Ovis aries: one gene and its partners. The protein of the gene in region 2 interacts with the protein of the main gene of each other region in a pairwise test. Links are inferred from orthologs where the notes say so. Each region holds a gene or a part of one and is shown on either strand. Other genes may lie near its edges.

Region 1 (4,023 bases), on a different chromosome or scaffold from region 2:
GCCTGGCGATGCCGCCTCAGAGAAGCAGCCTGCCCGAAGGTCTTGCCACAGTCGGGACAGGGGAAGGTGGGTGGTGTGGTGATGGGTGCAGCCGGCTGGGAGGCCCTGGCCACTGGACCGTGGCCGCGCTGGTGGGTGATCAGGGCCTTGGAGGAGGGGAAGGATCGGGCGCAGGTGAAGCAGATGAAGAGGACCCCCTGCAGCTTCTGGGCCACGAAGTCCGCTGGGTGCTCCCGCTTCATGTGGCGCTCCTGGAACTTGGAATCGGCGAAGGTGATGAGGCAGCGGGTGCACTCCAGGGCCCCCAGGTGGCCTGAGGACATGGGGGAGAGGTTGGGAGAGGCCAGCAGGTGTGGCGAGGGCCTCTCCCAGCCCCAGAATCATGCCGACAACCAGCATGCAGGACTTGACGTGCTCTGTGCCAGGTGCTGTGCCAGGCCTGGACGGGAGACTTACTGGACCTATTTTGTGAATGAGCAGACCAGGGCTGCAAAAGCTGAGGCAACTTGCTGACTGTCATGAGGCTGGGAAGTGAAATGGTGGAGTTAGAACTGGAACCCAGGCAGTCTGCCCTTCTGACAGAGCTGTATGATTAGGGCACAGCCTCTGGAGCCAGACTGCCTGGAACTGATTTCCCCTGGCAAGGGAAAACAGTGTTTTCATCTGGAAAATGGGGTAATCATTGTATTAGTATCCACCTCATATGGTTGTTGGAAGGAATAAATGAATGAACTTATAAATAGTGTTTAGAACGGTGCTACACAATGGTTTGCAATAATTATTGTTGAGAAAGAAGAAACCCCACAGCCAGGGGCTGGCCTGGCACAGCTAGGCCTTGGCATTCTCCTGGTGAGCATAAACAATTCCACAGAACGCTGTCAAACAAGGCCGTGCTGTGACTGGGGCAAATCAAGACCACACCATGGTGCTGTTCTGAACACAGACAAAACGTGAACATTGTCTGGGCCATGAGAAATGGCCAGACAGCCCCCTGTCCTGGCTTACGTGAGTGCCTGCTGCTGCTTGGCCAGTCAGAGCTGGAGCGTTCCCTTGTTCCTCCCTCCTCCTAGGTCAGATTTATTAAGTGAGCAGCCATCTAAGAGCCCTTGCTTCCTGGCAACCTCTATCCAGAGCAAAACCCCTTTCTTGAACCCTTCCCCAGTGGTAGGGAAGTCCTTTCTTATGAGATGCCCCACAGTGTGTGTACTTCCTCAGCACAATGAGCAATAAGCCTGATTTGCTCAACTCCACGTGTGTTCCTGGTGGTCTCCGGCTAGAAAGCACTAACACTAGCTTTCACTGTTATAAACACATAACCTCTCTTTGCCTCAGTTCCCTCACTTCATATGACAGTGATAATTATCAATTTCATAGAGTCTGTTAGGAGGACAGACTGAGACAAGTGTTAAAATCTTAGAATGCATCTAACACGTAATTAGCATTCAGTAGAAGCTGTTGCTGTTCTATGTCAAATTGGCTATCTTCATTAATATTAAGCTTTCTCCTTTTCTGCAGCTAATCCTCATACCAGCCAGCCCTGTGAGGTGAGGAGTGGCCACCCCTTTTGACAGGGAAACTGAGGTCCAAGGCGCACTGTAAGTCCAGGGCAGGGTTGGGACTGGGGCTCACTGCCCTTCCCAATCATTTCTCCCACCCCAAGCCTCTCTGGATGCCACTCTTTGCCTCTGAAGTGCATCCCTTTCATATTTATGTGGACAGAGCAGGGAGCTCTGCTCCTTGTTACCTCTGAGGGTAACAAGGGTCGGGGTCCTGAGAGGGCAGCTCATGGACCATTAACAGCTCCTTCCTAACGAGTAAGTCCCCACAATGCTTTGAACACTGAGATGCTATAGAAGTCCTTTTAGCATCACAGCTCCTGCAACCCACCCTCCTCTGGTCAGCAGTACTCACAGAGGTCACCTCTCGGACTTCGGGAACTTCTCTCCTCGGACGAATCCTGCTGCTCCATGGTCTGCTTGGAGTGCCGGTCCTCCATGGTGACTGGGACCCCTCTGGTCAAGAGAGGAGCATGCATGGCAGAATAGTAAATCAAGTGAAGTCGCTTATCTATAGCCAAATTTAGAGGGCCCCCTAATCCTGTGATCTTTGACAAGCTTACTTTGCCCGTCTTTGACTTCCATGAGATAACATCTCTTTGAATTCTAACCTAACAGCTCTCAGTAGAGAATTCAACCTTCCAAAAGATTCAGCTCCTCAGCTCTGTGACTTCTCTTAGCGCCTTCTCACTTGAGTGACCTATGCCTGCTACATCAAACCAATTCCCTGAACACAGAGCTAGGGACCCCTGATCTTTGGACACCAGCCTCATCCCCTTCTCTTCCACCTGTCTTGAGGCAGGTAGTGGTACCCACGCTTTAGCCCGCCTCCTCCCGAGAGACATCTTTCTCTGACATCCCGAAACTCTGAGACCCCGCTTCCCACGCGCGCTTTCAGCCGTTGTGACCCGCTGCCCCCAAGCACTGCCCTCGGCTCCCTCCCGAGGCCAGTAGCCTAGGTTTCTGCTTTTCTCCAAGACAGCAGAGGGGCTGCCTTTCGTTGCGCCTGTCAGTTGCTCGTCACAGCGCCGTCACCCGAAGGGAAACGGGGTAGGGCCCACCGAGTCTCAAAGTCCCGAGGCTTTCCACGGCCTTTCGCCTGATGAGCCTTTCGAAGCCCGGATCTTGGATTGCCATCCGACTGCAATGATGCAGTCCCACCAATTCGGTCCTCAATATAACGCGAGGGGTCCTTCCCTGCACTGGGGTGCGTAATGATGACGTTGTACGCAACTCTCGCCTGACCGACCGGTGCTTACTGCGCAAGCGTGTTAGGCGCTTCTGGCGCGCACGCGCTTTGGCTCCCTCATTGTTCTAGGACCTGCGACCGCTGAGAGCGGGCGAGCGCCCATCCGTCGTTCTGCGCAAGCGCCGCACAGCGCTGTCTTCCCGAGGTTACGCTTTCAAGACACACCTCCTCCTAAAGGGAATGACGTCAGGTTAGAACCCCTGGAAAGCGTCTGGACGTCCCCGAATCCCGGCGCTCTAACCTCTTAGGCCTCCGTCCCCCGACCCCAGAGCGGGGGCTTCTTAGGGGCAGACCACCTGCTACCAACTGCGCCGTCCCTTGTGCTGGTTGTTTGCTCGGTTGGTGATTTGGAAGGGAGGAGTGAGGGGTTAAAAACATCTGTATCCCAGAGGGTGTTGGGAGCTGGAGGCCAATTTCTGAGTTTTTGAAGCGGAAAAGGAAAGCCATCCAGAAGGAGGGCGGACGGGACTCCCGGGTCCCTGGGGAATAGAGGCTGGGCGCCAGATTTCTGGCTGCCTGGGAGTGGTACCCGAGAACGAAAGAAAGGGACAGAATAGTTGGCTGAAATGTGAGACCGGAGTAGGGAGGCTAGAAAATAAGGTTGGGTGCTCCGTGACCCAGGTCTTCCTCTCTCCTTGCTTCCCAGCTATGCCTCCGCCGCGAGGTGACGTGACCGTCTTATTCCTGGGGCCTCCGGGCTCCGGAAAATCTGCGCTGATCGCAGCGCTGTGCGACAGAGATGTGGAGACGGTCGAGATCCCCGACGGACGGCCGGATTCCGGGCTCCCCAGCCTGCGAGCTGCAGGCCCAGGCCTTTTCCTGGGCGAGCTGAGCTGCCCACCCGCAGAGCCGGGACCCTGGGCGGCGGAGGCCAACGTGCTGGTACTGGTGCTGCCAAGCCCCGAGAGCAATGAGGAGCCCTTGGCCCCGGCCCTGGGGGAGGCAGCACGGGCCGCCCTGGCCCGAGGGACCCCGCTGCTGGCTGTGCGGAATCTCCGACCCGAGGAGTCACAGAATGAAGCCCAGGCCCGGGATCAGACCGCGGCCCTGCTGGACAGCGCCGGGTTGGGCGCCGCGGCTCTCTTCGTTCCACGGACCGACTGCCTCAGCACCGACGGCTGCGAGGAGCTGGAGCGCCTGCGAGCGGCGCTGCGGAGCCAGGCCGAGGCACTGCAGAGGTAAGCGCGGAGCTTCTGGGTGGGTGGAAGAGGCCTGGAG
Region 2 (3,559 bases):
TCTTCACTCCCAGATTCCCCTTCTCCTTTGCATTTGATATTATCTGGACTTACAAGCAGTGATAATAAGAAAACTAAGGAACTCTGACAGCTATTCACCTCACTATGGACAGACAAGAAGCCATGTTATGATTTTATGTCTCCAATCGTTCCGATCACAGTTTCTAAAACAGAAATAAAACTCTTCAGTGTCTCTGTCCTCGCCTCGCTTTGTTTCACTGAGATCTGCATTTGCAAGTTCGCAGGCTCCAGCAGCAGTTCTGTTAGGAACAGACAGCCAGTGTCGTCCTGAGCACTGAGGTAGGCTTTCCATGGCTGAGTCCCAGCCCGGCTCATCGCGATGGTCTGGATGTTCACGACTTGCAGCGCCATCTGCAGGGTGTCAGGATGGACTGCTCCCTGCCACGGGAACACCTGCTGATGAGCAACTTTGAGGCTCAGCCAAGTTTTCTCAAAACACTCAGCAGTAAGCTGGTGATTGGGGATGAGCATGAGGGCTCCAGAATCAGGGAGTTCCTGAACCCTCTCCTTGTTCTCTTCGGGAATCAGGGATCCTACAAGAGTCAGAAAGCTTATTTAAGAGACGCTCTCAGTCTGCTGAAACTACATTTTAAAATCTAGATTTCTGAAAGTACACAATGTGATTTTTATCTTTGGAGAAATGGCTTAAATAACCAATGGCAAATTTTCTTGTTCACAAAGACAAAATTCAAGCAACAATCTGAAGTTTAGCTGGGGTACTTTACTCTCTACCATAAAGATTTTTCATGACAAGATAGAAAATAAGGTTGATTTTTACCTGATGTGGGAAAGGCTGCAGTGTTAGGAAGCTCTGGGCCATGATGTTCTACTCCCTGGCATTTAGCTATGGTTGCCCAGCGGGCTTTGCCATATACTGGCACCAGAGTGTTGAAGTCCAAGGCCCAGCTGTTCACAGGTCTTTCTGCCTGATCCTCCAAAAGTCTGAGGGAAGGGTCAGATTCAGGGCTACACAGGATCTGCTTTGCTTCACTGATGCCAGCTAAGAGGAGGCGGTAATAGAAGAGACCTCGGTCTCGTACTGCCATGTCCTTTTCTTCCTCTGAGGAAAGATAACAGGTTGAGTTAATTAAAAATAAAAACATTCTTTCTATCCCTGTGCCCACCAGAATAGGAGGGAGGAAACCCTAGAAAATGTTGACATTTTCTCCTTGGGTCCCAGACACAGCTCATCAAACAATGAAAGCTGTGAGAACCTCTATGACCGACGTGAAAGTGTTAGTCGTTCAGTTGTGTCTGACTCCTTGTGATCACATGGACTGTAGTTAACGAGGCTCCTCTGTCCATGGAATTCTCCAGGCAAGAATACTGAGTGAGTTGCCATTCCCTTCTCTGGGGGATCTTTCCAACCCAGGGATCAATCCCGGGTCTCCTGCATTGCAGGCAGGTTCTTTATCATCTGAGCCACCAGGAGGTATACACAACTGGCCACAGCAAGTACCATTTCCTCTGAAGAGCCTACCTATGCAGTAGTGTAACAAGCGGCCTAGCATGTCCTGGCACTCAGCTGGGCGAGAGAGGAAGAGGCGCAGCACAGCTGTGAGCAGCTCCATCTTGACAGCAGGGAACGTCTCTGACTTCACATTCTCTATGAAGTCTTCCAACACATAAGGAGCATTGGGGATTCTCTTCCCATGGACACCGAGTAACCAGATAAGTGCCTGCTTCCCCTAGGGAATTAGGGAGTAAGAACAGATGCTTAACATTTGGCTGTCCAAAACCCAGGCGAGAGCAGACGGCAGACAGCAGCAGGGTTTGCTTTTCCCCTAGAGTTAGCAGAAAAAGTGTATTTTACTTGCTTCAGCTTGCATTTATTGATCTACCCCCTACTAAACTCTCTACAACAAACAGGAACGAAATTCTACACAAAAAAGGAGACTTATGACTCTCACGCCTATGTTGTTTAAGCAATAAAGATTCCTCAGTTTTGGGGCTTTGGCCCCAATTTGGAGTTTCATGCTTCAGTGGAAGTTACTGGAAGATTTCCCTAAGTGACTCCATTAAAGTGGTGATTAACCTAGAGTGCACATCAGAATCGCCTGCAAGGCTTCTTGAAACTGTATGTGTCCAGGGGTTCCCACTTCTGAATAGCTGAGTAGATCTGGGATGAAGCGTAAACACACGTAGAAAGTCCACAAATGACTCTGCTTTTCATGCCAGCTGAAAACCCTATGGTCTAAATCTCTCACTCAAAATAATGAATACGTTACATGAGAATAACGGTTATCAAAATATTTGTGAGGAAACCATAGTTAAATTCTAATGTTTTCATAATTTATATCCTGCCTACACCCCAAAGAGAATCTGAGGTGGCAACTGATTCTAAGAATTCCCACTTCAGACACTGCATAGAAAGAATAATTCGATTCCATTTCACAGAGCAGGTCCCAAGCACTTCCCCTTTATCAGGAAGTAAAGGAGAATCGTAGTCTACCTCGCTGTCTTGAATGTTCTCCTCACAGCCGGGCAGGGCCTGACACACAGCTTCCGTACACTGAGGACACAACCATGCCAGGTCTCGGAAAGTCTGCACCACCACTGCAGCAAGCTCAGGACACAAGAGCACAGGGTTAGAGCCTCCGTGTGGGAAGGAATCTTAAGAAAAGTCACACAGTCAGGCGGCAGGAGCGTCTGCAAAATGGGTGTTGGAGGGGGTGGTCAGTGATCACCTGAGAAAGGTCTGGTACGGGCAACAAGTTCTTAAATGAATGTTGCTCTTCCCTGATTGCCATCAGGATACAAGAATTAATGTATGCAAAGGCACTTGGTAAACTGGAAAGCCATATACAAATGTGGGGGAGTGCTGCTGTTGAATGATGCTCTGAAGTATAAATGGAGACACTAGGGCTGGGGCTACGGTGAAGCCAGCAAGGTGCCAGGTTGTAAAACATAAGAGGACACACAGAGGTAGCACCTGCAGGAACCTGAGACTGAGTGACTCTCTATATACATTACATGTATATATATATATATATATATATATATATATACTCTTTTCTCGTAAGGCTTTTTTTTTAGCTGTGCTGGGTCTTCGTCGCTGTGGGGGCTTTTTTCTAGTTGCGGTAGGTGGGGGCTACCCTCGCGTTGCTGAGCATGGGCTTCTCATTGCTGCGGCTTTTCTTGTCGCAGGGCATAGGCTCTAGGCGCATGGGCTTCAGTAGTTGTGGCGCACCGGCTTAGCTGCCCCACTGCATGTGGGATCTTCTCAGGCCAGGGACTGAACCGGTGTGCCCTGCATGGGCAGGTGGATTCTGAAACACTAGGCCGCCAGGGAAGGCCTCCGTTCTGGCTCATCACAGGACACTGCAGATAGATCCCTGTGCTGTACAGTAGGACCTTGTTGTTTACCCATGCTCTATATAGTAGTGAGCGCCTCTTTAAATGTCTGTATTCTTGGCACCTTGTTTGTGTCATTCTAGTCCCAGGTCTGGCAGCCACTGCTTACAGTTGCTGTTGTGAAGCAAAAAGAGGGACAAAGGTGGGGAAATGACAAGCAAGGTCATCCTAGCACCCTTCATTAG
Region 3 (4,233 bases), on a different chromosome or scaffold from region 2:
CCGCAAAGGCCCAGCAGAGCTCACGGACAGACACCAGCCATTCCACGCAATGTGCTGGCCTGGCCTGGTGGGGAGGAGGGGAGGAGCTGACACAGAGGGAAGGGAAGGGAGGAAGTGGCAGTGAAGGACAGTGTGGACGGAGCACGGGTATGAGACAGGGAGGCAGGGGCTCGGGTTAAGGGTTCTGGCCGAGACCTGCCCTGGCCACCTTCCTCCCACGCCTCCTGTAGGCAGTGCTGGCCCATACCTGCGGCTTCCTGGATGAAGGCAGGGTTGCGCTTCAGGATGAGCAGAAAGGAAGAGGAGCCATGACCACACAGGTGCAGCAGGATCTTCAGCACCTGGGGCAGCAGGGATGGGGGGGTGGGCAGAGCTGGGTCCACAGAAGGGTGCCCCACCCGACACAGCCCCCCATGCCCCCAGCTCATCCCTCCCCTCCAGCCTCACCACCAGGGGCAGGACAGGGCCCTGACTTAACCCCCGGGCAGGCATCTGGAGCCACTCGGACTCACCTTGAGCTTCACGCGGCCAGAGCCGCTGTGCAGACGGTTCAGCAGGTACTCCAGGAGACACTGGCTGCTGCCCAGGGATTCGTGGGAGATCTCTGGGAGGCACTCAGTTAGGGAAGGGGAGAGCTAACCCTGGGCCACACAATGCCCTGGCCAGGGAGAGAAGCTGGGCCTTCCTGCCATCGAACTCCTCAGTGTGGCCCCCTCTACCACAGGCACCCACCCCAGGCACCCACCCCAGGCACCCACCCCAGGCCCTGGTTTCAGGAACACCCGGCTTCCAGGGCCTCCTAAGCCTCAAGTCATCAGTAAGGTGACTTTCAGAGCCCACACACCTAGCTGCTATGGGAAAGGAGCCAGGGCCCCCTTGGGATAGGAGAAGCCCGGGACCTTGGGAGATGGGGTAGGAGAGGCTACAGGGGCCCCAGAGGTATCCACAAGGAAGGATACTGGCAATCTCCTCAAACAGGTAGCCCGGACACGGGACATCATCATCCGACGTTCCCTTCAGGAGAATCGGGAGCTGAAAGGGAGCGAGAGCCCAGCCCACAGTGAGTGGCCACAGGAGCCCTCATTCTTGGGGATCCCAGTTTCAAAAGCTTATAGTTGGCGTGACACAGGGTCAGGGGACCCAAAGAGAAGAGCAACGGTCCCACTGGCCACAGGGAGCCTGCAGAAGCCTCCCTTCTGGAGGCGGGGATGAACGCCTGGGAAGAGGAAATGGGTGGTGGTCTCCATGGTGACAGGCCCTAAAGGTCACGATTCAGCAGGGCCCCCCAGGCCCTTACACCTACAGCCACACAACTTAAAAGTGCCTTTAGTATACCAACTTACAGACTGGCAAAAAAAAAAATACTCCTCAGGTGAACCCCTGTGACACAATCATTCACCCTGACAGACCTACAGCGCCACTTTCAGGAAGGGATCCCACAGAAACAACTCAAAACAAGAACAACCGACTCAGCTGTGTGTCTCACGCTTATGTGTCAGCACAAAGGTGTTTACACTGAGTTGACTCAGCACAAAGATGTACAATTTCTAGGGATAAAAACCAGAAACACCCATTCCACCTCATGGCACATCTGGAGGATATGAGCCTAGTGTAGACAGGACAAGAAACCTCAGGTGCAGTTTCTGAGGTGCTGGCCACAGACACAGTTGGCCTGAATGTTGCAAGAGGCTGTTCACGCTATTTGTCCACCAAGACCCAGAGGGAAGCTGGAAAGGTCTGCAGGACCATAGCATGTTCGGCACATAGCGAAACCTCTGCTCAAAGAGAACTGACCTGTCTTTCAGCAGCATGAGGGTGAACCCGTCACCCCCCTCACCCCTGCCGCCTGCCTGTGGAAGCTCACAGTGCCAGAATTCACTGTTCATTCTGGCCTATTTCTGGTGACAGACTCCAGACCTTTTCTTGACCCTGGACTTTTGGACTGGTTCAGGCTCACTTCAGGAGCATTTTCTACAATTGGGAACCCAGACCTCCTACAACTTAGGAGAGTCTTTCTCAAGGACCTGAAGGCCACTCCTTGAAATGTAACCACCAGGAGGGACAGGGTCTGTCCCCCAGTTCCTACCGCACGATGGGATCTTAGCTTCTGTAACCACCAGTTATCAGCACAGCAGCCGTATCCCACCGAAACCGCCCAAACGCCTGCCATTTTTCACTTGAACTCCACCCTTCTGTCCTGTCCTGAAAACGCCCAGTCCTCTCCGCACAATTTGAACTGGAATTCAGGGCTTCCCCCACTGCCTGGACCACTTAATAAAAGGTTTTCTGCCGCTCTTCGAATCAGCGTCTGGTTATCTCGGCCAGAGTTCGGGGGATCACTGTTTCTTTTTCTGTAAAGCTACTTTAAGCTGGGTAAGAAAACAGAAAAACTTGGGATTTTGTTCAAGGGGGTCACTCTTCCCCGTGGACCTGACACAGGGATGGCCTGACTTGCCGCCCCCCAAGGCTGTGGGGTCCCCCAGCCTCGGGAGGGGCCGAAGGGTAGGATTTGAGATGAGGAGTGTTCTAGGATGTTGAAGCGGCCGGAAAACAGGGAAAGAGGCGAGAGGAGAGGTGGGAGGGGACGGAGGGGGACGAAGGGGACGCCAAGCCTGCCAGCATCCGGAGGGCACGGGGCGCGGGGATCCCGCGGGGGCAGTGCGCAGCCAGGGAGGCGGTCGGCCTGGGCTGGGGGTGAGGCCAGGAGGCGGCGCGTGGTGGGACCAGGGCCGCCAGCACTCACTCACCCGGTGCAGAAAGCTCAGGCGGTCCCGCAGCGGCGGCGTGGCCGCCATGGTGCCGGCCACCTTCCGGCCCCGCCCCGCTTCCGCCAGGCCCGGGCCCCCGCCAATCAGTGCGTGAGCCTGACCCCGCGGGCCAATTACCCGAGTGAGGAGGGCCTTGCGGCCGACTTCGGGAAACAGTTTGCGCGTGAACCAATACAAAGTCCAAGGACAGCGACCGACAACGAGCCAACTGCAGGGCTCTGGGAGACTGAGAGCGGTTCCGGAGAGGCTAAGGCGAGGGCTAAGCCTGACCAAGTGACAAAGCGCAAGAAAGATTGTGGGCGGAAGTGCCTGCCGGTTAAGCTGTTGGGCGCCGGAAGAGGCCGGACCTAAGATGGCGGCGCCCACAGGTGCCGGGAGGAGCCGCTCATGTCGGGGAACGGAGCTGTGTGGGGTCGCGTGCGAAGCCGCCTCCGCGCCTTTCCCGAGTGTCTAGCTGCCTGTGGGGCCGAGGTGCGGAGTCGTCAGGCGGGGCAGGAAGGGCCGCGCGAGGCGGGGTGCAGGTTGGCGGGGGGCGGCTAGTGGTGACCCGGGAGCGGCGGCGGCGGGGTCCGCCCGGGTAATGAGCGGGCGCGGGGACCGTGGCGACCCTCGCCCATCTCCGTCCGCCCCCAGGCCGCGGCCTACGGCAGGTGCGTGCAGGCGTCCACGGCCCCGGGCGGCTGCTTGAAGAAGGATCTGTGCGCGCAGGAGTTCGAGGCTTTGCGGAGCTGCTTCGCTGCTGCGGTAAGTGAACGCCAGCCTCGCCCGGGGGTGGGACCCTAGGGGGCGGGGACCCACGTTACCTGTTTGGGAAACGGGCTTCCTTTTCTTCTGGGTTCGATGTTGGGCTCCAACAGGTGCTTCACGGGGGCACAGCCCCACACCAGCCGGCGCGACCCCCGCCGCCACGGAGGCTGCCTGTAATGAGGCTAGCACAAGGTTTTGAGCTGGTGCCCAAGATGTCAAGGTCCTGGGTTCCCTCGACTCGGTGGGTCTGGGGTGGGCCACGATGCCCACAGTCAGTTCTGTTCACCAGAGCTGCTTGTGCTGAGTACTGGACCTGGCAGGGGACAGTTGGGTCAGCTCACTAGAATTTAGGGAATCCAAGGAATCTCTATGATCCAGGATGGAGAATGCATGGGCCATACTTCATTTCCCAGAGGGCTCAAAGAACCCCTTGCACCTTCCTAGCAATCATTGTGGCTGGGATATGCGGCTCGCCCTTGTCACCAATCTCCAATATGACATGTTTCATCCAAGATGCACGTGTCGCTTGGACTTGCTTCCTGGCTCTTGGCAGCTTCCTTGCTTTACTCAGAGCACTCCCTCCGGGAAGTACAAACCTTCATCCTGTGGTCAGTGGTTGGAAGGATTCACATGTAAAATAAAGATCACACACTCCTGGCCAAACCAGGCTTTTCCCTACCGCCTGTGGTTATTAGTCAGGATCACAGGTATCCTGTGA

Evidence for each region.
Region 1: the proteins of AP4B1 (region 2) and ZNF576 interact in binary tests that used the Homo sapiens proteins (3 or more experiments, as listed by UniProt). The two-hybrid records come from large-scale screens. The link is inferred for Ovis aries from reciprocal best matches to the Homo sapiens genes AP4B1 and ZNF576.
Region 3: the proteins of AP4B1 (region 2) and TEPSIN interact in binary tests that used the Homo sapiens proteins (3 or more experiments, as listed by UniProt). The link is inferred for Ovis aries from reciprocal best matches to the Homo sapiens genes AP4B1 and TEPSIN.

The regions. Positions count from the first base shown.
Region 1 is NC_056067.1:51,632,458-51,636,480, reverse strand, and holds the start of ZNF576 (zinc finger protein 576), read right to left. Parts: upstream 2,803-4,023; 5' UTR 2,402-2,802; coding exon 2,373-2,401; exon of another isoform or gene 2,013-2,372; coding exon 1,912-2,012; intron 1,067-1,911; exon of another isoform or gene 1,006-1,066; intron 525-1,005; exon of another isoform or gene 320-524; intron 314-319; coding exon 1-313. Other genes in the region: IRGQ (immunity-related GTPase family Q protein), read left to right, coding at 2,986-2,995, 3,452-3,983. UniProt on the Homo sapiens protein: May be involved in transcriptional regulation.
Region 2 is NC_056054.1:91,209,006-91,212,564, forward strand, and holds part of AP4B1 (AP-4 complex subunit beta-1), read right to left. Parts: intron 2,577-3,559; coding exon 2,473-2,576; intron 1,709-2,472; coding exon 1,501-1,708; intron 1,081-1,500; coding exon 799-1,080; intron 554-798; coding exon 126-553; 3' UTR 1-125.
Region 3 is NC_056064.1:50,976,716-50,980,948, reverse strand, and holds the start of TEPSIN (AP-4 complex accessory subunit tepsin), read right to left. Parts: upstream 2,824-4,233; 5' UTR 2,796-2,823; coding exon 2,748-2,795; intron 1,033-2,747; coding exon 960-1,032; intron 605-959; coding exon 513-604; intron 342-512; coding exon 248-341; intron 1-247. Other genes in the region: NDUFAF8 (NADH dehydrogenase [ubiquinone] 1 alpha subcomplex assembly factor 8), read left to right, coding at 3,156-3,239, 3,402-3,512, 3,626-3,756. UniProt on the Homo sapiens protein: Associates with the adapter-like complex 4 (AP-4) and may therefore play a role in vesicular trafficking of proteins at the trans-Golgi network.